Drosophila melanogaster: one gene and its partners. The protein of the gene in region 1 interacts with the protein of each later gene in a pairwise test. Each region holds a gene or a part of one and is shown in the gene's direction. Other genes may lie near its edges.

Region 1 (8,513 bases):
CGTAGCCCTTGAAGAATCCCTGGTCGAAGATCCTACTGCCGTCGTTAACGAAACAGGTGAGCAGGCCGAAGGGAATGCTGAGCAGACTCAACTGCACATTCCGCATCCACACGGAGATCTCGGCACCCTTGAGGATCTTCTCAAAGTAGATGCCCGCGAATCCGGAGAGGAAGCAGGCGCCCAGTGCGGCCCACAGTCCGAGCATCCTGTTCTGCTCGGGAGCACCGCCAGAGGAGGCGGCCGTGGCTGCAGCTGCGGCACCACCGGCTGAGCCACTCGTCGGACCCTCCGTTTGGGCCAACTGCACCAGGACGATGCCCATCACCAGGAGCAGCAGCGCACCCCACTGCGTGTTCAGCAGCTTGCGGCGCAGAATGACAACCGCGAACATGGCCGTGGTGAGAATCTTCAGCTGGTACGTCACCTGGTAGGTGGCCGCATCCAAATGGGAGGCAGAGACGTACAGCAGATTGTTTTGAACGATATAGACCAGCGAGGGGACGCACACCTTCAGCGTGTCCATGGGATTCGCAATGATGGTCTTGTGCAGCGAGCGTACAAACTTCTGGGCATCCTTGCCCTCCTCGTTGAAGACCAGGAACAGGCACGTGATCAGTTTGGCGAACTCTGCCATGAGTACGGCTGCGAAAGAGGGCGCAAAATGGCAATCAATCAATCAAATATATGTACATATATACTAATAAGTCCAAGTATCGCTGTTCGGGTTTTCAAATAAGTCCGGTTAACTTACACACAGAGTCACCAAAGCAATAACCAAAGTTTAATGGCAAAATGTAAACCCATATGTAATTCAAGAATGCCAACCAAACCTCCTTGAGCTATCGCGGTAGAAGTTCCCCAACAGTTTTATCAAGCTATTAGGAGCTAAATGCGGAAGTGGCTGCTTATCAGTTTCTTTGGCAGCTTCACATCTACCCGAACGACCATTCCCCGCCTGCCACTGCTCCTACACCACCTTCACCTCCACCTCTTCGACTCGTTTGCTTTTACTGCTGATGTTGCTGCTTGCGTGGACAGACCCACGTCGAGGTTTCGTGGAAGTGGCTCTGGGCAACGAGGTGAATCTGCTAAGCGGTGAACCGGCTTGACCTGCTGAGCCCGACGACCTGTTGGACTTTTGGATAAGCACTCACCCGTGGAGCTGAGGAAGATGTCGCCTGGCCGGGTGCGGGCGTAGCGCATGCTGAGGCCCAGGATGGCATTCTGCAGGGTCAGCGTCAGCAGGCTGATGTACTTCAGCGTATTGGCGTTCACTGTGCGATGGGAATAGGAATACGTGACGGGGGCGGGCAGGAGCGCCATGTCAGTACCGCTGGAGTAACGCCACCGCACTAAAGGCCAAATACTCACTGTGTATGCTATTCATGGTGCTACGCTTCTAGCTCTATTGTCTCAACTCCAAAACCAAATAGAAACCGAAGGCAAACAAAACGCCGTAGTTGGGGGTACACAAAGACTCCGTTCCTGGCCAAGATCAGTTGTCGGCGGGCCGTTCCGTTTGGCAGTTCGTTCCCTTCAAGTTGGCCAGAAAAGCAGAAGAGCGCAAATGAAGACGACTCCACTGGACCGGGCGACACGTAAACAACAATCAGAGCCCGAAGCTTCTGCCAGCGGCGGCTTTTTATCGCCGCCTATGTGGTTGTTGTTGCTGCGCGCCAGGGACGTGGTCCTGGGCTTGCAACGGGGGTCATAAATGCGAAACCTTCTTAATTGAATGCAAACAAAATTTAAAAGTGCATTGTGCATTTCAGTAAAGTAAATACACCTTACATATGCTCCTGGGGGATGGATCCCCATTTTAAAGCAAGCTACGCCCATGGCGTGCAGCTTTTGTTGCTATTTTCGCAGCAGAGACCGACTTTTCGATAGTCACAGTGCTGGCATTGTGGCGGAACTCGCGAAAAAAGAAGTTGCTTGCAAAAAAAGCTAGATATACAATAATCGGGCATTGAGATTGCTTAAATTAATGTATATATTATGACTTTAAAATTAAAATTAAAATTTAACAAGAGAGCATGGGGATCGAAAGTAGAAAACAAGAAAACTCATGGACGAAATACATAAATACATATTGTGCATGCTTGTTCTACATGCACATGTATGTTAAATTTTTAAGCCCAGCGAAATTTATTTTTGCCGCACTAGGTTGGCTATTTACTCAGCTGCCGTTGAAAATACGTCATGAAAGCCAGTATATGCAGACAATTAAAATAAACATAAAACATCAAATTAAGCCAGTGAATGATGAACAACCTGTTGGCGGCACCTGATAATTGCGATGCATCAAATTTACAATACAACATTACAAATATATTGCCATTTGGGGGGATTAAATAAATTAATTTAATCAAATGCAATAAATGAAAACATTAATAATTTCCGTGTTGATTTTAAATCTTTTACTTTTTTGAGTTCATCACTAGAATTCGCTTTCGCCTGCCGCCTATCGATAACATTGCTCGGTGTGGCGATTTCGTAAATAGTTTTCTAACTGAATAATGGTAACAGTTGGCCACTTTAGTTGATAATTCATAATTGCAAAGACCAGAGACGCCAGGACACGATGAAGGAACAGCCGCTAAAGGAGATCACACAGCTCATCCACGCCATCAAAGTGGGGTAAGTCGTCGGTTGGCAGGCACTGCGATTCATTTGGTTGTTAAAGTGGCATATGTTTTGCAGGCTGGTGGAGGGATCCTACAACATAACCAACAAGACGCTGGACATCTTCAAGTACATCATCATGAGCAAGAGCTGGCAGAACGCCGAGTGAGTTGCAAGGGATGGCACACCAAGGATAACACATTAACTGATAAACAACTCCCCCTCATTTGACAGTGCTCTCATGCAGATTGTGCGCGACCAGTGTAAGATCCTGCAGGCAGCTCTGCCCCAGGAGACGGTTACCTCGAACATTGCCAGGCGGATCCTCAAGCTGACTCGCGAGGAGTTCGATCTGTTGCACGCCAAGGTGCAACACTTCGCGGACGACTCACAGGCCTCGCTGTCGCTTCACAAGCTAGTCACGCAGACCAGCGAGAGCAACGTCAGCGTAGATTACTCGGTGCCCCAGCATGGATTGCGGGAAGCGCTGCTCGACCACCTGCAGGAGGTGGAAACGGAGCTGGAGACCAGTTCGGAGAACATCTGCGTCCAGGCCGAGGAGCACATCCATTCGTCGGAGATCATCTTGACACTGGGACACTCGCGCAGCGTCGAGAATTTCCTCAAAAGGGCGATCAAAAAGCGTCAGTTTCTCACCATCATCGTAGCCGAATGTGCGCCAGCCTGCCGGGTTAGTTGGGTCTCTTTATGGGACGACAGTATTTGTGGGGTGTAAGAAAATGCTCTTATGTTGCTTAACAACTGCCTATGTCTTTTACAGGGTCACAATTTGGCCGCCAGCTTGGCCAACGAGAAGAATGTGGAGATTGTTGTGATCCCAGATGCGGCCATCTTCGCTATGATGTCGCGCGTCAACAAGGTAATAATCGGTACGCACAGCGTGCTGGCTAATGGAGGACTCAGAGCGGCGTGTGGAGCGTATACAGTGGCCCTGGCCGCCAAGCATTACTCCGTGCCGGTCATTGTACTGGCGCCCATGTACAAACTCTCACCATTGCATCTGTGCGAGCAGGACGCCTTCAATATGGTCGGCTGTGCGGAGGATGTGATACCCTACGATTCGATTCCAGCGCGCGAAGCCAAGGTATACAGTCCCATGTTCGACTACGTGCCTCCGGAACTGGTCACCCTTTTCATATCCAACACGTAAGTAGTGCGCTTATCGGCCTTTCGACTCTTTTTTATTGCATTTATTGGATTCTTTTTTTACTTAGCGGTGGCCATGCCCCCTCGTATGTGTACCGCCTCCTTACGGAACTGTATCATCCCGAAGATTTGGAGATTTGAAATCGTGTTTGTCTCGTTGTTTTAGCAATTCTACCAATAAAGTCTACAGTAAAGTAGCAAGCCCATTTCGATTTGGATTGATTTAAATGCATCAATTTCGTAGACATTTATAAACTTTAAAATTCAACAATAATTATATCGAATAAGCAATAACGGTGGATCGGTTTTCGATTTAAGAACATTACTACTTTATCTTGGGTTGATATAGTTAATTTCAGGTAGCACGTTTCTCGTAATTTCCCTGCGGCACACGATCCTCAACCTATTTTTGAATATTTTCAAGCAGCTGCGTGAAGTCGGCCAGGCTATCGGCATAGTAATCCGGCTGCGCTTCCACCGGGGCGTTCAGCATGTCCTCCTTTGTTAGGCAGCCGCTAAGTACCAGCAGGGACTGGAAGCCGCAGGCCTTGCCGAACTGCACATCCTGCACCAGTGTGTCCCCGATGAAGATGCAGCGCTTGCAATCACGAATCTCGAACATTTCGCCAAACATTTCGCCCAAAATGGGAGACGGCTTGCCCAGAAACGTGGCCTCGCGTTGCGTGTAGCGTTTAACGTGCTCCAGGAAGTCAAAGAACCCGGCCACATTGAGATTCTCCGCCAGTGGCATGATGACATCGCTGCCGCCGGCTATCAACTGGCAGTCGTCATTCTCCTGAAGGTGCCTAATGGCCTTCGCCAGCTCCACGTACGAGAGGTCCAAGTGGATGTCGAATAGCACAGCGCCCACGGGCTTTTCAATGGCCAGGTGATCCACCAGCGACGCGGCCGTCAGGTGCTCCTTGACTTGCTGAAGGAGAATGATATGAAATTTAATAGTCACACGGAAGCTCTTGAACTAAATATATTGTATATATATATTTATAAGTAATAACCTTCCCCTTACCAGCGATTCAAACTCGATGTTGTGCTTACGTAACGTTTCGTTCGCTTCGAGGGACATGAGGGAGTATACCCGCTCCCCCGGCTTGTGCTTCTTCAGGTACCGGACAATGGTCTTCACCGGATGAACGATGTCGTCCTCCTGGACGTTCTTGGCGCCGATGTGGCGAAACTTCTCCATGTAATCCTCCTCGGACCGGAAGCTGTTGTTCGACACGAACTTGATCTGCTTGCCGGCCGCTTTCAAGGCATTGACGGCGGCTCCCGTGTTGGGAATCCAGCCCACCAGGAGCCAGACGACGCCATCGCAGTCGCTGATCACCAAATCGAAGGAATCGATGAACTGCCGCTGCTCCTCGAGGCTGAGCTTCAAAATGTGTCGTGGTGGCGACATGGTAATGTTGGTTTTTTGGCTTACAGGAACGAATTGGATGCTGGTTGCGCGCGCACGGAAATTCCACAGCCGACTAACCGCCTTTGCCGGCATTTAACCTTCAATGTCAACGCATTGACATTGTTCCCCCGGTTCCTCGAACCCGAACCCAACCACCCCTCGCCCATACAACCCTATGCCTACGTACATATGTGCTAAGTATCTTTTATTACACGATTTAGCGAACCCGAGCGGAGTGGCTCGTCCGATAAGATTCCGTATGTAAATATAAGATCTTCTGTGTGGAACGCGGCATGAAAGACTCGTGCGATTTGTTGTCTATTTCACATTCCCATCTGCCGGACAGAGCGGATAGCAGTCCGGAAAATACATACATACATATGTATCTCATTTGCTTCCTAGTTCGGATTTACAATCAAGCGTACGCGTGATTATACCAAGTTTATCTTAAGGAACAACTTATAAAATGAGTCTGCTGCATTCGTCAAATTTTGGTTATTCATGCTTTTGACTGTCATTTGAATTTACCGGATATAATTTAGAACCATATAGATTATCGAACTAGTTCCACTGCCAAATGTGACTGAAATATATTGGTCTCGAAATAATTGACAGCCTTATTATTGAATTCAATTCTATGCAATCAAAGCGAAACCACAAACCCAAAATGGCTGTAAAGAAAAATTTAATTAAATTTCAAAGGCTTTTGGCATGCTATAAATATTATATGTATTTTGCGATTCACATGCTTCCTTTTCTTCCTTTCAATTGCATTTCTTACAAATCCTCTGCGATACACGTGATTGAAGGCGATTGACATACATACATATGTATGTATGTAAGTATTGATCGGTGGTGCATCGGCCTTTTGTTGCTGCTGTTGTTCGCTCAAGCTTATAACAGGCAGGCACAAACGTGTACAGTGAACACTCGAGGAAACATGTATGAGCACGCTTTCCTCAGTTCGAAAAGCAAAGGTACAGTTGACGCATGGAGAAACTAATAAGTATGATGACAATTGCGAAAGTTCAGCAGCGTAGACAACAGAATGCCTGTCGCCCTACGGAGGTCCCACTGTGCTGGGCCGTAGACCCTGGCCACACATGTCAACACCTTGACATTGATGGCTGCGGCATTTGGCCAACGGAAGCGGAGAGGGGGAAATGGAAAAGCCGCCGGAACGGAGGAAACCACAAATGGCCAATAATTCAAATTCAAATGCAACATTTCAATTGGCGGGGTCCGGAAGACGCTCGTGTCCATGTCCGCGTCCGCGGCGGTGAAGGCAAAAGAACTGGCCAACGGGGCGGGTACTTGATGTGCGAGCGCGTGTGAGTCGCGTCGCTTGGGGTTCGGCTGCGTTTTTGGTTTGGTTTGGTTTGGTTTGGTTGGTTTTGGCTGCGGCTTTTTGGTATATCGCATCACAAGTCCAAATCGATTGCCGGGCCAGCTAGTTTAGTTAGGCGTCTCCCTGATAAGATACGAAAGTACGAGTTGCGAACGCTTGCGAAGAATTCCGCCAGAAGAAAAGCACATTCGGCCACCTGAGCTTGGAGCAACTGTTCCCGGCGGTTATACAACCAGACGACAACTAGTCAAAAACTAAGGAAAATTGCCGAAAATGTCTACCCTGGCCAATGGTGGAAAGGAGGAGGATCTAAAAATTCTGGCTCAGCTGAAGAGCATCGAACAGATCAACGAGCAGCGCCGCATATTTCTCAACAGCACGATCAATGAGGAGGTGCCGGAGGCCACAAACGGATCGACGGTTCGGGAGGAGGACCTGGAGAAGAATCTGAAGGCCATAGACGAGCCGCAGTCTACGAAGATGCCCCCGGAGGAGGTGGCGAAGAAAACGCCTGATGAGGTCCCAGCCCAGGAGCAGCAGAAGGAACCCGAAAAGGTGGAGCCAGCCAAACCAGTGCCCCCCAACACGCTCACCCTGAACGTGAAATACGCCACGCTGCCAAGTCCGAATGTGGTGACCCTGCGATCCCCACTTTCGCCGCCCCCTAAGCCGCCAATGCTGGGCCGCACCCGCAGTACAGGTCCCGCCGATGGCAAGGGTCCAGCGAGCAATGGAGCTCTCTCGCCGGACAGCTCCATAATCCGTCAGAGCTTTCCCGAAGGCGTCATCACGCCCAGCAAGCCGGAAAAGAGCCCTGCCACGCCCAGCGAGGAAGGCCCGCCGACCGTCTCCGCCCGCCACTACGAGGGACTGATCGAGGAGCTGAGGTGTCCCGGCTGTGCCGGCGCCATGAAGGCGCCCATCCTTCTGTGCAAGAGTGGCCACAGTGTCTGTGAACAGTGCACCCGCATTTTGCTCATGTGCCCGCTCTGCAAGGTAAAAATTGACGTCAGCTCGCCAAAAGTGTTGTTCGGTTATCAATATCATATTGCCCCAATGTGCGCTCCTTATCTAGTGACGTGCAAATATACATTGGTATAGACTAAGGAAAAGCTACTCGCAGATTGCCATCATCGACAGGCGCAGGACAGAATGATCTCCGGTGGAGATTAGTTTATTACCCAGCCGAGGGTGTCTAATCAATTTTCAAGTGCAGCCCCACTATCTGCACTACAAGTGTGACTATAAAAAATAAGCCTTGTCTTGCACTAGGAAATGTGTGGTGCCACCAGTTCACTCTTCTAGGGCATATTTATTAGTGCCATCTTCTAAATATCCAACCGAATCTGAAATCTGCAAGAAGGAAGTCGATATTAACGTTTGCTCGGACTTTTCCATAGATAAACTTGTATGCTCGCTAACCAATGGACAAAATAAGTACATCGAAAAGCCCGTGTCATACTATCACTATGATAAGTATGATAAAGTGTATAGTTTCTTCATCATCAAGTTCTTTCCATCAATACTAGGAAATGGGGCATATGATATGGGTAACACACATCACATTCGAACTTGCACACTAAATTGTATGCCAATCCCGATGTCAATGCAAATAACTTTATGTTTCAGGAACCCTTCACCAACTCCCGATCGCTGACCGTGGAGGCGCTGTGCGCCAAGGCGCACTTCCGGTGCGGACACGCCTCCGGCGGCTGCCAGGTGCGGATGCCGGTCGTCCTGCTGCCGTGGCACGAACAGCAGTGCATGTACAAGCCGATGAAGTGCTTCATGGGCCGAGTGTGGGGCGATTGCCGCTGGCAGGGGCGCGAGGTGCAGTGGAAAGAGCATCTGGAGGAGCAGCACGACGACCGCCTGTTTCGGTCAAGCAGCGCTGATCTGGAATGGAATCTAGGCACGCGGCGGAAACCGTTAACCGGCTACTATGTCTTCCAGGCG
Region 2 (9,695 bases), on another chromosome or scaffold:
AGCTGGATCCGCACAACTGCGATGTGGGATTCGTGTACATGGCGGACTCCATTGGAGACGGCATTGTGGTGTATGACGTGGCAGCCCAGCAGTCGTGGCGGATTGAGAACAAGTTTACGTATCCTCATCCAGACTTCGGCACATTCACGATAGCAGGCGAGAGCTTCCAGCTGTGGGACGGCACGGTGTCTACCACTCTAACGCCCCACGGCTTGGGTGGCCGGCGGATGATGTATTTCCACTCTCTGTCCAGCGAGTGGCAAATGGCCATTCCGTTGGATGTGGTCAACAACGGCAGCAACTGGCGGCTGAACGATGTGAGCGCTGCCTTGGATCAGTTCCAGTTGCTGGGCAAGCGGGGAAGTCAATGCGTTGCGGCGGCCATGAGCGAGTCCGGCTTTCTGATCTGCGGCCTGGTCCAGCCGGCCAGCCTTTTGGCCTGGAACATTCGCACCGGCTACAGCCATCAGAATCTGGTCATGCTGGTGGAGGATGAGCAGCGACTGCAGTTCGCCAGTGGACTCAAGATAGTGCGCAACCACGAGGGCAAGGAGGAACTGTGGGTGCTGTCGAATCGGCTGCAGAAAGCCTTCGGAGCGGGTCTGGACTACAAGGAGATAAACTTTCGCATACAGAAGTGCGGTGTTCAGGAGCTGCTCAGCGGCAGGCCTTGCAACTGAGTCGCTTCCCGCTGCTGCTCAATAAAGCTAATGATGAAATAAGTTGTTTTCTGGGTCACTCACCTTCTTGTAGAAGTACTCCTCCTCGCGGGCAGCCTCAAGCTTGCCGAAGGCTCCGCCGGCCTCGCGGATAGAGCCACCGCCGCCGCCTCCCTTGCCGGCGCCACTGCCTAGGTCGCCCACCTGGCTGCCGCTCATCTTGGCCAGCCTGTGGAGCGGAAAATGGCGGTGGGAACCATTAGAATCTTCTGGTTTTGTGCGGTTACGCAACAGTGGAGTGAAGTCAGCATAGACTGCACACACACACATGCGCGCAGGGTGAAAGCGATTTCGATGGGATCGGAATTGTTTATCTTATCGAACATTGAGGAAAGTGTAAGTTGGGGGCATACATAACACTTTGAATATGGCGAATGAGATATGAGTGCTCTGTTAAGTCTTGTAAGCCAATTAGCAGGTAGTTATGAACGGGGGTTAAATGTGGGTAGAAACTCACTGGACTCCAGCGGGGTACAGACGAGATGCGCTACGACGTACAACGAACATTCTGTTTGATTCTTGAGTAGTTTAGCTGCAAGAGAAGCGCAGAAAATACAATTTATTGAGAAAACTCCATTACGAAGAGTAACTGTAAAGCCGTCTCCTTAACAAAACGGAGTGCATTGAACTTTTTCGAAAACCAAGTCGCAATAAAAGAGCCGCTATTTTTAGCCAGTTCTTTGTTTGTTGTTTGTATAAAATATATACACGAATACCCAATGCACATACTAGATTTAATGCCGGAAAAGTGCGGCGCGCTTGAACATTACTTACATTTTTGCGACGACAAAAGTTTTCTGCAGAGTGACCGTAGGCGCACCCTTAAATAATACCTTCGCGGCAGAGCGAGCACAGTCGGCGTGGTCTATCGAATATGTGAGCTTGCGATTTTAATCGATAACGCTTTATACCCTTTGCATACTGCAAATAAAACTAAGCTTCTTCTGTTGTTTACTTAATCATGGTAAACTAATATTTCAATTGCAGATTTCTTACTAGCAACAAATTTAAATTCTCAATCGACTTGGACTCTAACTTGACGCTTTAACGCTTTAACTTGAGTTCTCGTCGATTGTTGCCTTAATCCAGTCGACGTAGTGCGTCACATTCGTGGCCACTTCGAAGATCCTACAGGATGCATCCCCGTAGCTGACGAGTCCGAGCAGGAAAGCCCGCTTCTTTAACCCGAAGAGCAGCTTCGCGCTCAGCGGGCCCCCGGAATCCCCACCGCAGGCATCGCTGTCCACGCCAGTGGTGCAGATTTGGGACTGGTCGACTTCGATGTTGAAGTTGCTGTTGCAACACGATTGTTCGAGCGCAAGCAAAGTGGTCTCCTGGAGAATGCGGCTGGGCTTATAGTCTGCGGTGTGACCCCAGCCAGTGAGGGTGTAGAAGTGAACCTTCTCCAAGGGTTCGGTTTTTCCCCAGAATTCTGGGGAATCAGTCAAAGCGAGGCTTCGCTGCGTATAGCGTTAAAATTTGCTGAAGATAAGCTTCGCTTATGTACATAAATACTAATGCAGATATTATTGACCCGAATGGCGTCTACGACAGAAGTCAGGGGAGCCATTAAACCACTCGAGATAATATTTTGGATTGATAATATTTTCTTAGAAAAGCCAACGAAATGTTATTATGAGTAGCTAGAGTCTAAGCTGGAAAGCTCTGCTGAAGTCTTCGATGGCGTTCACAATCCAGTCCCTGTGGTGCGTAACGTTGGTGTAAACGGAGAAGGAATGGCATGCCGCCGACCCGTAGCTGACCAGTCCGTACTGGAAGGTCAGCCAGCTGCCGGCAAAAGGAACCTGTGCGCTCAGCGGGCCTCCCGAGTCGCCGTGGCATGCATCGCTATTTGTGCCAGCAGCACAAATCTGCGACTCATCCACCTGCTTGGTGAACTTGCTTCGGCAGAAGTGGAGGTCGGTGTTGTACACAGTGGCCCTCTGGAGCCTCCGGCTGGGCGTGCCATCGTTGGTGACACCCCAGCCGGTGATGTTGAAGATGGGACTTTCCGCCATGTGTCCCTCGACCAGGAGACAGATCGGCCGGACGTAGTCTGAAAGATATGTCCACTGCTTAGGGAGCCCTGGCTGCTGGATCCACCTCATTACCTGAGTACTGGACGAAGCTCTTCATGCGCAACAGGCCGATGTCGTTGTCCAAGTTTAGGTTATAATCCGCATGCAAAATCTTTCTATCCACAGCGAGTTCATATGACTTGGGCACGCAGCAATCCTTGCCAGGAAAGCGGGTGTCATACTCGCCCAAGCGTATTCTCCTGAGTTTATATGACTTGGGCACGCAGCGCGAGCAATCCTTGCCAGGAAAGCGGGTTTTATACTCGCCCAAGCGTACTCTCCTGTGGAAATGGGAATTCGTAAGTGTTCGCCGAAAGACAGTGCTGCCTCACTTACATGTGTGTACTAACGATGCAATGGGCGGCCGTGAGAACGAAGCCTGAAAGTATTAGCAGCAGGTGACTGGACAAAGAACTCATTCGTGGGCCACATTTGAATACTTACGACTGGTGATTAGCGAGCCACCACATAGTTTCTCGCCTAGCACCTTCACCATCCATGGATTTGAGAATAGGCCTGCGTCTGCGCCCCCGGTGATCATTGGGATAAATTCTGGTTTTGTCGTGCCACAACTGGAGTCTAGCAGGTGACCAGGTGCTCCTTCACCCAACTGGATGGAGCAGACCAGAAGAGCTAATCCAGCTGCGATGAACTTCATCTTTTCGCGGTAATGGAGCGACTGGCAAGCTTAGTCGAGTTTGAGGTAATTTTTGAGGAATTTTATGTTGACCAGCTGATAACAGTACACTCTTTATGACCGTCAACGGAAACGGATATGATAGGAATCAGTGTTTTGTTTTAATGAGTGCTCTCAGTACTTTTTTATTTTTATTTTATTTACGAATCTGGGGAAATTCCAACTCACTACCAAAAATTAGACCCCTGTGATGCTTTGTCTTGCGCCAACTACTTATACAAATTTGAACTTGAATATTTTTCCTGCTTAGCTTCTCGATTAACCCTTCGAAATGCAGTTATCTGGGTAAACGAATATTCATCGCGATCAGTTGTGGAATATAATTTAATCTATTCTTTAATAAATCCAATTAAATGCTGCTAGTTATGAATTTTAATAGTAACAAGCAACTTAATTTGTGTTTCATATAACAAATCATTAGTGTGACCGAACTCAACTCATAGGTGGTGTCATAGCCGCATAATAAGACCGTATTTGGATGTTGCAGTGCACTCTCCAATAAGAATCAAGTTTAACCTCGTTTCAAATCATTTATTCGCCGATTTCACGTTGGGTCCGACACAAACAGCTCTGAAATGTTGATGCGACAATTAAGACTAAGTTACTGGCCGCCTAGTGGTGCTCGGCGTGCTCCTTGGCCTGCGATTCGGCCCATGCCTTCTTGTTCTCGGGCGAGTTGGCTGAAAATGGGCAGGAGGGAGAAGTGCATTAGTACAAGGGGCCCAGAGGTCGCGAGGCGAGTGTTACGCACCCAGCTTGCTGATCTTGTAGAACACGGGCACGCAGGCCACGGCCGCAATGAAGTAGTAGCGCCAGATCCATTGGTTCTTGATGTAGTGCTTGATGGGGAATTGGGCTATCTTCGCGGAGAAAGTGTATGGGTAGCGCATGGGGCGTCCAGCGGGTTTCTCGGCAGCAGCTTTGTCGGCCATGGTAGTCGTGGAATTCGCAGCTGTGGAGGGTCGAATTAAACGAAATCAATTTACGCAAAAATTATGTAATTTTCGGAGGCGGCAGACGAACATACGAACCTCACAAATAAAAGACAGCTATGGGAATGCCAACTCGTGCGGCGAGGAAAGCACCAAAAATGACACTGGCTGCTAGCGAGTCTGGCAAGGCCGGCCATGTGTTTACCGCGGCGAATCAAGACGGTTATCGATTCACTTACATCGCTATCAACTGGTGGACGTTTTTTTGCCATCGTGAGCAAAACTTTCGAGTTACTTTTCCCGAATAATAATATAGAATCGTAAGGTAAAGACAGCAAGCACACTGCTTAGGTGCTATAAGCCAGCATTCGTGCTTACCCATAGACGCAGGATTCAGCTTGGATCTTAATTGCACCGCCACAGGAGTCTGAACCTTTTTTAACCTTTTCACATCCTTTTTCACCTTAATTGCCATGTCTCTCTCTTTTCAAGCTTTCAAAATGGTTTTAACTAGCGAACAGGTGCCACAGGTAGCTAGCTTGCCTCTTAGTAACTAATTTGCCAAGTAGCGAGTTTCCCAAATTTAGTTTTGATTTAGCATGTCGGCCGATTTGATTTCGTATTTGATCCAAACAGTTTGATAGTTTTACATATTGTTACATCAATAACTAATTCCGTACTCCCTATCTGGACTGGGACTGACGCCCAGACTTTGAAGAGCAAGCACAAGAAGCAAAGGCAACGCAATCGACCGCGCAACAAACGAAATCGCCTGGAAGACAGCCATTCAACGACACAAGAAACATCAGCCATCGACGCCACGAGTGCAATGCCCGGAAATGCTGTGGATCCATTGGCCACGGAGAAGACTCGTGACCAGATAATGGCCGAGCGGGAGGCGAAGAAGCTGGCTAAGCAGGCCAAGAAACAGAAAACTGCACCGACTCCTACTGCCGCCACTCCTGCTGTTCTGACCACTCCCTCTGCTCCGGCCACCAAAATCATCACTGAAGTGGAGCAGACCACCATTACCACTAAGCTGACGACCACCACCACAACAAAGGTGCAGGATGCAGTGGCTTCAAAGACGACTCAGCCAGCTGCGGTAAATGGCAAGGATGCGGAGGCGGGTGAAAAGACACGCGAGCAGATCAAGGCGGAACGCGAGGCCAAGAAGGCAGCCAAGAAAGCTGGCAAAGGCGGGGGAGCCAAGGTAGAGGGCATCGCACAACAGCTCGCTGACCTGAAAGTAGCAGAAAAAGCTCCAGTCGCAGCCAGTGCTGCACCTTCGACAACAGAAGCGGACCAGGAAAAGGTAACTTGCTACATTTATGATTTCCTTGCTTCATATACATCTCACCTCACCTTGCACAGAAAAAGCCAGCTCTTAGCAAAGCGGAGCGTCGCGCTATCCAAGAAGCCCAACGGGCAGCCAAGGCCCAGGTACAGACTAAAAAGGCCCAGCATGCAGCCAAGGCACCACCCAGCGCAGCTCCCAAAGGGCCGAACCGGAAGAGCGTTTCCCCCACCACAGCGGCCACCAGCAGTTCCCCCGTCAAATGTCCAGCCAGCACGCCCAATGTAGACTGCCGGGTGAAGCTGTTCAACCATCTGGTGTGCGCCAAGGAAGACAGCCAGTTCATCAACGATCCACTCGTTCATCCGAGCATTGCGCGCTTGGGTGTTCAGTACGCCAAGCGCACGGTGGTGGGGTCCAATGCTCGATGCATTGCCTTCCTGCACGCCCTGCGCCAGGTTGTCCACGACTTTGAGACGCCCGCCAAGAAGGAGTTTGGTCGCAGCCTGGACGCCGCCGTGAAGCACCACGTAGACCACCTGCACAAGTGCCGACCGCTGGCCGTGTCCGTGTCCAATGCGTACAAACAATTCAAGAACCAACTGACACAGCTGCCGGCGGATGTTCCCGAAACGGAGGTAAGAATCAAAATATATTTTTTTAACTCAATTGGTAACATGCATTTGCTCAACAGTCGAAGGAGCTGCTCGTCCACTTCATCGATACTTACATTGAAAATCAAATCGGCAAGGCGGCCCAAGCGATCAGCGGTTTTCTGCAGGAAAAGATCACCGATGGCGACGTGCTGCTGACCTTCGCCTGTTCCTCCCTCATTCAGTTCATCTGCGAGGAGGCCAAGCGGCGCCAGGTGGCCTTCCGCGTGATTGTCGTCGATTCGCGACCCGGATGCGAAGGCCAGGAGCTGCTGCGCCGACTGCACGCCACCGGAATCCCGTGCACCTACGTGCTGATCAACGCCGTGGGCTATGTGATGGCGGAGGCCACGAAGGTGCTGCTGGGAGCACACGCCCTGCTGGCCAACGGATACGTGATGGCGCGAACGGGCACCGCCCAGGTGGCCCTGGTGGCCAATGCCCACAACGTGCCGGTGCTCGTGTGCTGCGAGACGCACAAGTTCAGCGAGCGCTTCCAGACGGACGCCATCGTCTACAACGAGCTGAGCGATCCCAACCAACTGGTGCGCGGCGACAAGTGCCAGCTAAGCAACTGGGCGGCCAAGGGAAAGCTGTTGCCGCTCAACCTGAGCTACGACATTACTCCGCCGGAGCTGGTGAGTGCCGTGGTCACCGAGGTGGCCATCCTGCCCTGCACCAGTGTTCCCGTCATACTCCGCATCAAGCCAGACATTGGCTACTAATCAGACTTCATCGATCGCTCAGTAGAACTCGCAGTTGTTGAATAAATAAGTTTTATTACACTTTGATCAAATCGACAAACAAGATTGATGCGTAGTTCATAATTTACGGGTATGCTAGTGGAATATGCTTGATGCCAGGGACCGCTGCTGCGAAGGAGGGCTAGGCCCAAGTGTCTGTACATCCGGCAGACCGCCGAGTTCCTCGGAAATTATAAATATTTTGATCAAGAGCAAGTCTGCGCTCTGACATGCAATTGTACTTTCCGTGCGGGTGGGGCTGGGATTAGCAAATATGTAGCTCTAGATTCTAATAACAAAATACAGTTTTGTGCCCGGCTTATAGACTAGGACGATGCCTGGAAGCCAATCGCTGGTGGATTGATTTGGTTTTGCTCTTTTGATTTCCATTTGCAACAACTTGAATGAGCTTCTACAAGCAGCTAAGTCTACAAATGCAACAATAAATACACACAATAAATTTAATAGCGTTTCCATATCGATTGCACACCCTAGCTCCGCTCCATTCCTCGATCCTGCCTGCCTTGCCTCTACGGGCTTTGCTTTTGCATTTGCCGGAAGCAGCCCCGGCACACCGGCACCGGCTTTCCACTGTCGTGTCCTGGCAGAGCCACGTTCTTGTCTATGCAGCGCTCGCAGAAGATGTCCCCGCAGCGCCAGCAGTGAGTCTATTCGAGGATTGGATCATCATCAGTGGCAGGCTTGCTTAAGTACGCGGAGTTACCCACCTTTTTGCTGAACTGATCGAAGGGCGTGGAGCAGGAGCAGGTGGTTACGTTGCGCATGGGCTTCCAGTCTACGGCCACGGAGTTGATCTCCTCGGGCAGCGCCTGCGGCGGACTGGATTGTTCCGCGCTCAGCGACAGACTGGCGAAGGACATGTTGCTGGCCTTCAGCGGATGATCGTCGTCGGCGGCAGACAGTTCGCTAAGCTTCTTATCGTAGTTGTATCTGCAATAAGCGGATGGATTATAAAGCATACTATAGCATAATAACTAATATCTATCATACGCACTTGTTGTCATTGATCTCGTTGCTGGAGAGCTCCTTGTTCACTTTGCCAGGGGCGCTGGTGGCGTCTTGCAGTTTCTTGGCCGACTTGGAAATGTAGTTCTTGAAGCTGGCTATGCGCTTGGTCAGATGCTGCACGTGGTCCTCCAGCGAGTTGCAGTGCTCCTTGCTATCGAGCAGCACGTCGCCCAGTGGCTCCCGCGGATGAATGCCGCTCTCGAAGCGACTGTACATGCCGCGCCAGAACCTGTGTGAGAAGCGCATAGTTTATATAGGATTTGGCTCATTCCAGAAAGTCCTCACTTGATGCACTGCGGTGCCAGGTTGGCCTTAATGGCCTCGTCTACATTTGGTTTGTACAGCGGGTTGATATACTCGTTCAGGTGATTGGCCATATAGCCCCACAGCGAGAAGGTGCGCTCGGCCAGCTTTAGGTCCAAGCGATCCTTCTCGCAGTTGCCCACGAAGGTGCCGAATTGACATGAGTGCACATGGTCGTGCAGGATGAGCAGGAACCGCTCGTTGAACTCGAAGGCCTCGCTGCGCTGCGACATTAGCTGCCAGGTACAGTCCAGGAACTGTGTGAAGATCGGCGACACCTCGCGGGCATCCGTCTGGATGTGACCGCAGCGCTCGCTGAACTTGTGCCCGAATGCCAGCCAGTCCTTCTCGATTAGCGCCTGGAAGCCCTTGATGGTTCGGTAGTAGGGGTTCAGCATCAGCTGCGCCAGTGAACAGACCTGGGCCGTGCGGTCCCAGCCGTCGGAGCAGTGGACCACCACCGAGACGCCCTTGTCCACGGCGTTGGCGATGAAGCTGCAGGGTGACACACACAGAATGTTAACAACTCAGTCCACAATGCCATTGGGAGATTCTCCTGTCTGTTGGCTCACCTCGACGTGTCCAATATGGAGCGAATGTGCTTCAGCCAGCCGGATGACTCCAGGGCATTTATGAAGGCGCTCATCGTGGGCGACTTCTGTTCGCAGGCCTCAAGCACCTTTTGCAGACTGGCACGCTGGACGTGGATGTTCTCAATGCCGAGGAAGTGGAATTTGATGTTCTCGTAGAAGGCCTCGTTCTCGTATCCCTTGCCGGCGGCTCTGTTTGCCATGGCATTAATCTGCAAATGGCGTAAATGGATTATTTGCATTTATGCTCGCCTCGGGAGATTCCCCTGTCACACTCACCCGCGGTCGCGTGTCCACCACATACATGTAGTCCGTGTTGGAATTCGTCTTGCGTATGGCCTCCAGCATCTGCTCATCCTCCAGACAGCGGGCACTGAATCCGGACAGGGGCTGACTGCAGCGGCAGATGGAAGCCTGCAGTGGTTCCCAGTTATGTAAGTTTGCTGATAATATGAGTTATGTATATCTTCGCCTAACCTTGTTGTTGTGCAGATAGGTGAGCACTGGCAGCCGCCCCTTGGAGCGGAATCGCGAGCTGCTGATGAGCATCAGCGTGGTGGCCTCCTTGGGCACGTAAATCTGACGCGGATAGGTGTCGCACAGCTCGTACTTCTCGTTCATGGAGCACAGCGTCCAGGCCTCGTTGGGCACCAG
Region 3 (11,940 bases), 5.0 Mb from region 1:
CTCTCGCGCGTTTGCCTTGATTGTCCTTGATGGATGGATGAAATGGATGGATGATGGACGTTCCACCAACCGCGCGAACCACTCATAATGGAGAATGGAGGGTGGTAATGCGGCGCTAAAAGCAAATGACAATCAGCGGAGGGAGCGGCAAACATTTAACAAAAAGACAAGAAACAAAGTTTAAAATCTAAAAAATTGAAACGGGCTAATGGTGGTGGGGGGTGGAGGGTGCAGGTCTAAGAACGGTGGTACATTGCAATTTACATGCAAACAAACAAATAAGCCCAGCCAGCCCAGAAAACCACCCACCACCACTCAACGTATGGCCTTCCCTTTCGCACCGCTTTGTTTGCTTTCACCACCCAACCACCTCAAACCTTCTCTGTCTGTCTCTCCGTCTGTATATGTGCGTGTATGTTCGCTCAACATTTCAATCAACGCTCGAGTGAAATGTGAAAAAAAAATCATAATAAAAGCAAGGATAATATGGCAAGCGAGTGGTTTGGCGGATGGGTGGAGCGTTGAAAGTGGTGCCGCCGCCCAAGCGGAAATGGATGCGCATCACAAAAGTGGCACAAATTGTGTGGCATGTGTGAGACGTTGCATGCGGCTATAAAAGAGAGGAAGATATAGTGTCTTTAAATTGTTAAAAGCACGCAACATGTCCCTCGAAAATAACTATAAATTTAATTTTATATTTAATTTATGTAGGAATCAGCATCACTTCAAACTTTCATCGATCAACACAATATCGAAATGCAACTCTGCATTTCAAACATATTATGATCTACCTATTTAAATCACACTTTATTCATCAGCGTACCTTGATCATACTTTTCATTTTCTGATATGCTGAACATTTTCGAAATTCCACATCTTTTGACCGCCCCAACTTGCAACTTATTCGAGGGGCTTCCCCACTGCAACAGCCGCTGTTACACGCTATAAAACCAGGTCCCTTTTCCGAACGGATTGCCATAACAACCGTTAACCGAGTTGTATTCAAAATCTCGAGCTGAGTCGAGTCCAAACAAAAATTAAAAAAAAAAAAGGTGGAAGGGAAATGCGACGACCAGAACCAAATCCAAAGTGTAAACATTCACAGCCTCCGTTGGGTGAGGGAAAAATGGATTTGGTGTGGGTTTTTGGTGGGTGATGGCGGGGAATGCTAGACAATGCCGAATGCCAAACGCCCATACCCAAACTCCCTGGACAGAAACAGCTTCCTTCCGTGCTGACGTTTGATGTGCAGCCATGGGAGCTTTTCTTTTTTTTTTTTTTTTTAATACTGCGAGTGGGTGGCAAACACGCAACCAACGTGTGGCAACAGCTAACAACTAGTGCAAAAAAGGACGAGCCAAAAAATGCGGTATTTATTTCAAACAAGCTCAGCCCAGCAAACTGCAAAAAAAGCTACACGAGTTTTTCAAAGCTATTGCTCTGGATTCAGATTCCATTGCCGATGGCAAGTTGCAAAGATGCACAGCCGAAAAATGCTATAGCCACTGTTAAATGTTTAAATAAAATCCACATACCTTCATCATAATTATTTATGATTATTTAAGTCTTAGCACTGAGTACTAGAACAAACAAGTAACTACACACAACTATACCAATAACAGTGAAATTTTTCCAGTGATCTTCGTACACAGACACACGATGCAATTGCTTGGCAACAGCTTGTGGGGAGGTGTCGCTAATGAAGTCGCAAACAGTCGGTGGCAGCAAAAAATTAAGCAAAGAAAGCAACGCAACGCTCTACATATCCAACCGCATCCGCATGCCTTCATTGTAATAGAAATTATAAGCTTATCCTGCTCAAACCGGCCCATCACCCACCTACTCCCGCAGTTGAGCTGTCGTTTTAGCAACACGTTGCCCGTAGCCAAGGACTGCATCCATTGTTCCACTGGCAACATCCGCCAGAGATTGGTAATTGAAACCGGGGAACGTTGCCCGAGAAATGTGGAAAAAAAAAGTTCCATCACAGTAATAAATATAACACTTATTCTTGAATTTAATTCTTAGAATTTTGATTTATGATAATGCATGATATGATAATGCTTTGTGTTCCGAAGCACATAAGCCCCAGGTTGGGCGCCAAATAAGCAGTTCATTACCTAAACAAAACCATTTTAAGAAGGTCTCTTTACTTCCGTTTCCCAGTCGATCTTTAACGTGTAAAATTTGGCAAGACTGCACCAACCGGAAGCGATCAACCCATAGACCAATGAGCTTACGTCTCGCTCTAGTTTTGGTCGTCTTTTTGAAAACTTTTTACCTTTCTTCGAGGGTGGTTTCCATGAACACTTTAGCACTGTTGCTGCTGGTGATGTTGCTACTGCTACTGCCACAGTCGATGTTGCTGCTGCTGATGCGCACCACCAATGCCACAGCGACTGTGGCGCACCACCACCCACCTAGCAGCTCTGCTGGCGCTCTGCTTACGCCTCGTTTCATTTACAACAATTCATAATTTTAAAATCGCACCGAACTCGCCTCGTTCTGGTTCTGGTACTCGGTCTCTGTTTTTCTGTTTCTGTCTCGGCCTCAGGACTCGTTGGATGCTGCTCTGCTTTCCTGCTGTTGCCGCTGCTGGCACTCATTTCATTTGATTTTTAACTGTCATCGACGGCAGTTCAGACCGCTAGCAACGCGTTACCCAAGCAGTGCTTATATTATTTTATATATTTTTTTTAAGTGAAATAAGTTTTAAACAAATATATCTATCAATATAGTAATCATAGGTGAGAAAATTGATCAGCTCGCAAGATCGGATTTGAATGTGTTAAAAAAACGCGTCTATAAAAAATATTATTGTGAAAATGCAATCAATGATTATATTCCAACTTAAGAACTCCTCTTTTAATAAAACACAATTTGGACATTCTTAATAATTAACCTGATATTTTAATAAGGTTAATAATAAGCTAATAAAATCTTATATATAAGCTTCATAAGGCATTCGTTTACAATTAAACTTTTCGATCAAAGCCTAACAAACCCAAGAACTTTACTAATCTTTCTTGAAACATTTAATCCAAATGATTAGAATAAAACCAAAAATACTTTATGCACTTCAGTCAGTCTATGAACCGAAACAATCCAAGCTAAACTTCAAATTTTCATTGGAGAAATTATTTAGCCATAATTCAAACGCATCCAGGGGTTGCACTTTACTTCAACCCTTTGCAAAATCCCAGATCAATCTACACGAAGAACCTGTCAGAAAGGGTTCAACGCAAATTCGATTTTGAAAAACGTTGTGATGCATGCGTATCTCTGGCAGCGGGCAAAGTTGCAAATGAAATTTTGTCAAATTTTCAGGCAACCCAAACGGACACGAATACGGACAACATACACGGGACAGAGTTCCCCGGATGCGGGGCAGGGGTAACTGTCTGCTGTAGCCGACACACATGGACAGAAAGCCACAAGTGGCACATTATTTTAATTCGCAGTCAAACGCTGTAACGTTAACACCACAACGCCATGTCACCAACAAACCAACAAGTTCATTTGTCCCCATATGTGCGTGGATATGAGCGGGGTGGCTTAAACACAGGGCAGGAACAGGCAGGACGCTTAACGAGCAAGGGTTAAAAATGTTATTTATTAGTCATTTGAGCGATCTAGTTTGGTCATAAAAAAATTTTTTATATTTAAAATTATTAGCTAATTTCAGATTTACATTCTTAGGCAGCTACATATTTTCCAATTCTTCATCCTTTGAAACTATTTAACTAACCCGATAACAATCCACTGTTCATAAAGCCCCACATTGGGCGCCAATTACACGATACATCACGCTTTACAAAGATTACAACCGCGCCTGAATGGCACAAAATGCGAACATAGACTTCGTTCAGGGTTGCACACCAGGTGAGCACGAGGAGGGTTGCTAACCAACTCCATGGGTGGGAAGATGAACTCCAGAGTGATTTCGGAATGAAGTGGCATGGGCAACTTATCGCTGTTTGATATGCAGTAATTATGTTATAAGGTTGCCCAGCCCAAGTGCCAGTTAAGTGTACGCTTACAGGGGTTGCCCGCAATCCCAATCGGCTCTTCTATTTTCCGGTGGTGGCTTAAATTTAACATCGATGATGCGACATCAATCAGCTGGGCAGCCTTGAGTGGGTGGATCACCACCCAAGGGGAATCCAGTGGAGGGATTACTTTCTACTCTGGTTTTAATTGCCACGCTGTTTGAGAAGGGGAAAAAAAAAGAATTTCGCAAAAGTTAGTACTCAGCTTATCCCCAGACGAAAGACAAACAAAAGTCGGATGCACTTTGCGCATTAATCTCAGCTCCATATTTTTAGTTCTCGGACTTATTCTCAGCTGCAAAACTTATGCACAAACTTGGGCATGGGCCATAAAAGAAAGTTGGCCGACAGCTGCTGATTGAATATTAAAATGCTGCCAGTTGCTCCAGAGCCACCACAGCCATAACCAATTTAAAAATGAGAAGAGAAACTGGCAATTAAAGCTCTGCCCAGCATCAATCAGTGCCGGGGAAAATCAACGGAATTTCCACCGAGTACCAGATGCCGGGTTGGCCACGCCTATCACCGCCCACAACCACCGCGCCTTAATTAGCATAATCTAATTTTAACTTTGTCGCAAAAATGTCGCCCTAACCAACATTTTTACCTCTCACGAACAACGGCTGCCAAAAAATGCAAATCAACACCCGTCCGTTTGAAAATCTCCGCCTCCGAAACCCCCAATCATATATTCCTTTTGCGACGGTTGAAAACTTTATATATTTTTACAACGAAATGAAAAAACAATATAAAAATAAAAAATTCCACAAATCCAACATGGAATAACGGAAAAAACAGAAGGAATGCAAATGAATGTTCCAAGCAATCGTATAGAAGCTGATGATACCTAAAAATGCAATATATTCTATAATGAATAATTGCAAATTATGTTTTTCGTTTTCGAAAAAACCATAGAAACCATAGAAGGAAAAAATCATGAAGGATTAATTCAAAGTTCACAAACTAAGTAATGCCTTCAAATTGTTCAATTTGTGTACTCCTTGATATTACTTTCGTTTTATTATAGGGTATTCGGTAACAGGCGTCGTCTGTGGGTTGTTAAAAACTTTTTAAATGCGAAAATGAAAGAGCAACAAGGCAATGGAGTCGTGGAAATGGGGGGGGGGGGTCCTTCAATGCGTGATTCTGTACTGTTCCTGGTTAGAATTGACAGGCACACAGGCGGCACAGGATACAAGCAGCCAGGACACAGCGTCAAGTGCCTCAACAGTTTGGCAACACAACAATTGAGTTTGTCCTCCAACGTTCGCGGAAATGGAGGCGGCAATGAGGGTGGTTGGGTGTCACTGCTGTTGAAACATTTAATTTACTGGAATTTGGCGCGATGTGTGTAAGCTTATTAACAGCTTTTAAGGGATCAGCGGGGAGTTGGAGACGGAAAAAAAATTATGGGGATAACGGAGAGTGAGGGAACTTGCGCGCCTGTTTTTCTATGCAAATTTCATTTGTTTTTTGGGTGCTGGGCACAGATGTTGGCTTAATAAAGTTATAATAAAGGTAGCTTAGCTGACGGCAGCTGTGGAACAATGGATTTGATGCACATGGCAGTTATGCTATTACAATTATACGAATACAGGACTCTAAAGGTTGCGGGCTTGATGCTTAATGCTTGAACTGATTTCTAATCTACTTTTCTATCAATTACATTCCATTTGCTAACATCTTGGATTTTCAGTCAATCTTAAGACGCTTTCAAGTTCAACACCAAGTCCCTTCAGTCATTATTTAGACTTCCTTGCCAACCGAGAAAACTCACACACATTTATACATCGAGACAGATTCACTCGGAGCAAACAGAAAATTCAGATTTAATTGTCCCGTGGGTAATGGTTGGGCGGGAGCATGGAAAAGGCGGTGGAATGCCAGTCCAAGACAATGCAAATATATATCCCTATACAAATATAAATTTCAAGTGACTTCAGCCACAGAACTGAGCCAACGTCTTTTGTGTGTTCTTAACTTTTTTTCTCCAACAGCAGCAGCAATGAAGGACAGCAGTAACAGCATCTCGTCGAGCAACACAGCAGGGATGCCATGCTCAACGGGAGGAGCAGTAGCGTCAGCAGGGGTAACCACCAGCAATGCCACGCCCAGTGCGCCTAGTACGCCCACAACAGCAGCAGCAGCAGCAGCAGCAGCGGCGGCAGCAGCATCTGCTGCAGATCCAACCGCAACGAATCCGCAAAATCCGCAGCAACGCAGCAAGAGCAACATCCATGAGCTAAGAAATCAGGACTACGTCAGTCGTTTAATGGCAGCCACACCACCGTATTTGTATTCCGCACCCGTGGGACCAAATAATTTCTTTTTCAGCGATATGCTGCGTTCCTTGGTGCAAGCGCGAAATAATGAGACGGCGCGTGTCTTGCAGCTGCAGCAGCAACAGCAGCAGCAGCAGCAGCAGGCACAGCAACAACAGCAGCAGCAACATCAGGCCGCCTTGGTGAGGCGGCCAAGAAAACGCTCCTGGTCGCATCGTCCATACTACGAGCAATTGCGGGAGCGACGCGATGCAGAGGAGAAGCAGCAGCAACACCAGCAGCAGCAGCAGCAGCAGCAGCAACATCAACAGCATCAGCAGCAGCAACATCAGCAACTTCAGCAGCAACTGGTGCCGGAGAAACCTCTAGAGCTGACCAATAAGGCAATGACACCCTATGGCTATGCCAAAATGGAAACCAAACCAGGTGCTATGGGTATAACACCGCCAACGCCAACGACGGCACCACCAACGGCTGGCAATAAGACTGGTGGTCTGGGTGGTGCCGTCGACACTAACCTGCAGGACAATACACCGCCGGCGGCATCGTTGCCACCACAGGATTTGGTCCTGCCGCCACCACCACCGGTTTGGTATCCACCACTTTATGCACCCTACGGCATCGATCCGTTGCACTTCTTCATCGATCTTCGCGTTTCCGGACATATATACGATAGAAAGAAGGAGAATGTCTCACCGCTTTCGAGTAGCAATAATGCACTTGCCGAAGAAGGTTCACCCGGCTCGTGTTCCAGCTCGGGCGCCACTTCCGCTTCCGGTTTGGCCAGTAATTTGCTGAGCAAACAGCGTCATGGCTCCGCCTTCACTGTACCCATACCCAAGGCGGCCCAAAACGATGCCATCAATCTGTGCGCCAATGCGGCAGGATCAAACGCCGGCGGTGGTGGTGCAGTGACCACCAGCACATTGGGCAACAAATTCGAGCACTATGCCAAATACTATGATCTGGGCGAGACTAAGGAAAATCAACCGTCCAGTACGGCTGCTAATCTTTCGGCAGCCGCTGCTGCCGCTGCTGCAGCTGCAAACTTATCGAAATCGGGCGCCAGCTATATGTTGCAACATCTGCCACGCCTTTACAGTCAGTTTGCCGCCCATCAGGCGCAGGTGCAGAGTCAGGATATCGATGCCAAGTCGGAATCGGCATCGGTTAGTGCCTCACTTTCGGCACCCGATCTTTGCGATGAAGATTCACTGGAACGAAATTCCAGTGATACGGGTGCCGGTTTGGAGGGAACGAGCGGCAATCAGGGCAATTGTGACATCGATGTGGAGATCATTGACTCCATCAAGTATCGCACGGATGGCGAGAGCAGTCGATGTTCCAGCAATGACGAGGCTTCCATCACGCAAATCGATTGAGGCTACTTATTTAAATAATACGAATAAAGTTAATGTGTCCATAATATGATCATTGTTTATTTCATTTTCTACAGAAATTGGTGGTTTTGAGAAGGTAAGTAACTTGAAGAATAAGAAGAAACAGTTACGCGCTCAATAAATGCTTATACAACAAAATGATAGAGATCTATCAAATCAACGTTTCTTTGCAAATAAACATGACAGCTTGTAACTGAAACTGTGGCCCAAGTTGAAGTTTCCCTGCCCCTAGAAATATGCAACGGTAAAAGTAATTTCATAAATCATTTCACGCCGTCGTCGTCGCCTGTTGGTTCATCTTCCACGTATTTGCTGCCTTAAGGCATTTTTTAAATGTCGTTGCACGAATTGTCGAGCTTCAGGCCCACCAACGTTGGGCGCCACATAAAAAAGGAGCCTTCATCATACCGCCACCGAGCATTACACGCCTGACTACGCTTTGTGTAAATTAAAACTGCTGCCGGCTGCTGCTGCTGACGATGACAATGCCACCCAATTCCCGCCACAGTTCTCTTGCATTCCTCGTTTTTTTTTTTTTTTTATTCTTTTTTCATTTGAGCCCCACAGGATATTAATTTTTACACCATTCATTGATTTTGTTTGCTACCCGGTTGCTTAATGAACACATTGCAATGCAAAACGGTGGGGGCGTGGCGACTTGTGCGTTCACCAGGCTCGTTTCCGTTTCCGTTTTTATTTATGTTGCTTCTTGTTTTCCCCCCCCCCCCCTTTAACATTGTTATCAAACGTATGGATTTTCATGAGTTTGCAAATTTCTGCACATTGAGGCAGAAAAAGTGCACTGAAAGCCAATCAAAGCAGCAGTAACAAAACAAAAAAGTGAATAAAAAACCAACACGAGTACAGTCTGAATCAAAAGTGTCGATAAAAATTTGCATGAACATCGCTAAGAGAGGCGGGGCCAAAAAAAGAAGAAGCAAAGTGGGGGTCTCATCATCATCATCATCATGATTGTGTAATCAAAGTAAGTAGCAAGAAGAGATAGCAGCGAAATTGAAATTCAACCTAATTGCAGGAAATTTATAACTCAACTTAACAGCTGACAGATTTTTCCCTTTTTGCTGCCGCGGGGATTTCTATGCGGTTAGAGGAGGGTCCTGTCATGAATACTTGCGTACTTTTGTTATCCTCTCGAAATTCATAAATCTTGGCAGACGCTCATAATTCATGCAACAGTCGACAATTGGCAGCGGTTTCCACTCAAGCCCGATGGGGATGATAGTGGGTGTGGGTAAGGATATACCAACCAGCAATAAGATCAACTTGCGGCTGTAAACAAAATTTTACCAATGACAATTCGGGCTAACTGGCAACGAACAAAAAAAAAAAAAAAAACAGGAAAATACTTCAAGAAAACCCGAAGAAGCGTTGAAAATCCTTTGGGCGAAGATGGGGTGGAGTTTCTTTTTTAACAAACAATGAATGCAGCATATCCCAAGGGGACAAAAGTACTTGGGCGTGTTGACAGCTTAAAGCTTTCCCCTTAATTGATAGATTTGTTTGTCTAACGCGCAAGGAAATTAAAGAAGACGTGAAAAAGAGTTATTGCATAGGGTGGAATGGGATTATTCAATGGTACTGTCTCTCGATATTATATTACTAGCTTATTTTAATTATTGTTATAAGTTGTACCTGCAACAACTAAATTAACTTTGAAAATCCGAATTTCTGATTAGGTTTAAGCCTACTTTAGGAAGAAACTGAACCCCAATCACAGAAAAACTAGTTTTTGTAATTCAAAAATTACCTAAAACCGAAACATCTGGCGCCATCTATGGATTAAGTTAGCACATGGCAAGCCGTTACAGCGAGCGCCATCTATGACTTAAGATACTGCACACGAAACCGTTACATCGAGCATTTAAAAATTTATCGACGGTCAATGCTAGCCATGTTAAATTGCCCGCATGGGTAGCACTTAATTGGCGCGCCGTTCAAAATATTTCTTTATCAATTTTCATTTGTTCCTTTTAATTTTCAGACACTAAATACATAAGTAAATTCGAGCAACTACGAACTTGGTCCCAACTTGGCAAACAAATCAAATCAGACTACCTTAAGGCAGTCTTGCTTTTACCACCAAAGAGTTTTATTTGGCCTTCGGCAAATTATCATGTTATTGTGAGTGCTCGCATTTTTTTTGTCTATTTGTTCTGCTTTTGTTGTCTTTTTTCACTTTTTTGACTTTGCTGTTGTATTAAATTCATGCTTGTAAATGAGCTCGAAATGCTGATTATATTAAGAGAGGAACGCGCTTTATTTGCTCATACATATTTATGAGAAAATTTTCCAGATAGCGATATGACTTTTTTTATTTCTTGTTTATGGTATTTATTTAGTTTATTTTCTTAATCCAAAGTTACTAATTGTGGCAGCACGCTTATTACAAATATGATGATTAAGTAACTTAAAAAATAGTAAAATAGTTTTTGTATACAATGTATTGTAGAAATATTTTTAAATGCGTATTTGATCAGCGAAAATTCCAGCAATAACTGGGGAGGGTTCAAAGTAAAAAAAAGAATACAAGAAAAGAAGATAGGCGAAAACGAAGACGCAAAATCAAAGGCAAATGTAATGTAAACGGGATCATTTTGCGTCAAAACAAAGTGGGGCTAGGTGCGAGTGGGATGGTGCTATACAGGACCAACGAGGAAGAGAGAGAATAAGCGACAAAAGTGAGAGAGAACCCCACTTGAAGAGAGAGAAAGAGCAAAGAGAGAGAATAAGAAGAAGAGCTGCCGTTATTTGTTTGACATTTATCAAAAGCAACAATAACAAGAAACTAAAACAACAAAAGCAGCGACAGTGCGGGCAAGCGAGATGGAGGTAGTCATTTGTTTGACATTTTTAAGAAACAATATTAAGAATATCAATAAAAGAAAATTTTACCAATCAGATTATAAGAACAATGACTTATCAAAAACAACAACAATAAAACTATAACTTAACTTTACAGAAAAGCAATTAAAGCAAAATTTAAAACAAAGCAATACCAAATGACACTCTGAAATCAAAAGCAAGTAAGCATAGCAACAAAATGCACAATAAAAATTTACACAATACCAAATGTACAACCAAAATTAAACCAATAAGTTGAAAAAAAAACTAAACGATGAAAAGAAAACGACAAGTCAGCACCAAAAAGCGTCTAAGATAAATGCCATAAAAATAAACAAAGATTAACGAACAAGAGTAGATGGGGGAAATCGTAGACTTCTATGCAATTTTCCGCCTATTTTTACGCGCTCTTTATGCGACGAAAGGCAAGAGAGAGAGAGCGGGAGAGCGTGCTTAATGCAACAAAATATTAAACATGGCTAAATGCGTCCAACCGCCCGCCACCCACCGTTCCGCCGCCACTCCCCCTGCCCTTCATCACTTTTCAACGACCTCAGCTAGACAATACGGCAAACAGAGGGAAGAGTAGAAGGGACAAAAGAAGACGATGAACAGGCACCGTGGAACGAAAATGCAAATGGCAATGGGATAAAACAATTACTAATGTGCATATGCTTTCCGATCAATCAATGGATACAGTGGACATGCAAATAGGAAAGGTACGCAGATTTGAAATTCTAATTATCCAAAATACGCACCTATACAAAATCCAGAAAACTACAGAATACACGGATGGACCTCAGGTAGGCTAAATATGTCAATTGAATATATTAAAAGCTAAAGATCTAAAGATCTAAAGATTGCATAGATCTGCAGATCTGGGAAAACCTATTTATAAACCAGATACATAACATTATTTCATTTCCACATTCATATGCCATTTTTTGCAAGCCTTGTTACACTGTGCACCGCATGAGCTACATTTTTCTTTGGCGTCCCATCAACAACATTTTGGGGCTATATACCCACCGATTCGGATCCACATCTCTACACCTCTGGCTGCTAAAAATGTTTTTGTTAATGCCTTTGGATTTTCGCTTTTCTGTATCTTTAATTGTGTGTATTTCTCTATGCAGTGCCGCATTTGATCGCTTTGTCTTCACTTCATTGAAATTTAATACAGCCGTCGGCACAATTCACAGGTTCGGAACATTTAGGCAGACAAAATGATAACTTCGCTTTTATAATTGTTTATTAAGGTGTTATTTCGAAAAGGGTTATTTTTTATAAATACCATTACAAAATGTTAGGTAGGATAGGATAGATATCCTATTTTCCAACTACACA

The links.
Region 2: the proteins of eIF2Bbeta (region 1) and eIF2Bdelta interact in a two-hybrid assay, tested with the Drosophila melanogaster proteins (one large-scale study listed by BioGRID).
Region 3: the proteins of eIF2Bbeta (region 1) and CG15478 interact in a two-hybrid assay, tested with the Drosophila melanogaster proteins (one large-scale study listed by BioGRID).

What each region holds. Positions count from the first base shown.
Region 1 is NC_004354.4:2,702,134-2,710,646, forward strand, and holds eIF2Bbeta (eukaryotic translation initiation factor 2B subunit beta), read left to right. Parts: upstream 1-2,437; 5' UTR 2,438-2,584; coding exon 2,585-2,640; intron 2,641-2,703; coding exon 2,704-2,790; intron 2,791-2,859; coding exon 2,860-3,316; intron 3,317-3,406; coding exon 3,407-3,792; intron 3,793-3,860; coding exon 3,861-3,933; 3' UTR 3,934-4,084; downstream 4,085-8,513. Other genes in the region: Ugalt (UDP-galactose transporter), read right to left, coding at 1-642, 1,155-1,323; CG2680 (uncharacterized protein), read right to left, coding at 4,196-4,723, 4,820-5,209; CG2681 (uncharacterized protein), read left to right, coding at 6,831-7,553, 8,187-8,513.
Region 2 is NT_033778.4:23,381,872-23,391,566, forward strand, and holds eIF2Bdelta (eukaryotic translation initiation factor 2B subunit delta), read left to right. Parts: upstream 1-4,649; 5' UTR 4,650-4,751; intron 4,752-4,918; 5' UTR 4,919-4,926; coding exon 4,927-4,956; intron 4,957-5,032; exon of another isoform or gene 5,033-5,135; coding exon 5,136-5,741; intron 5,742-5,800; coding exon 5,801-6,361; intron 6,362-6,417; coding exon 6,418-7,101; 3' UTR 7,102-7,181; downstream 7,182-9,695. Other genes in the region: CG13551 (uncharacterized protein), read right to left, coding at 744-888, 1,177-1,226; yellow-d2, read left to right, coding at 1-680; CG30414 (uncharacterized protein), read right to left, coding at 2,363-2,775, 2,831-3,078, 3,134-3,176, 3,242-3,455; roh (reduction of Rh1), read right to left, coding at 4,107-4,174, 4,246-4,426; Mtmr6 (myotubularin related protein 6), read right to left, coding at 7,650-7,787, 7,848-8,070, 8,135-8,377, 8,434-8,946, 9,024-9,253, 9,321-9,455, 9,519-9,695.
Region 3 is NC_004354.4:7,708,598-7,720,537, reverse strand, and holds CG15478 (uncharacterized protein), read left to right. Parts: upstream 1-2,605; 5' UTR 2,606-2,747; intron 2,748-5,421; exon of another isoform or gene 5,422-5,567; intron 5,568-6,046; 5' UTR 6,047-6,054; coding exon 6,055-7,713; 3' UTR 7,714-7,755; downstream 7,756-11,940.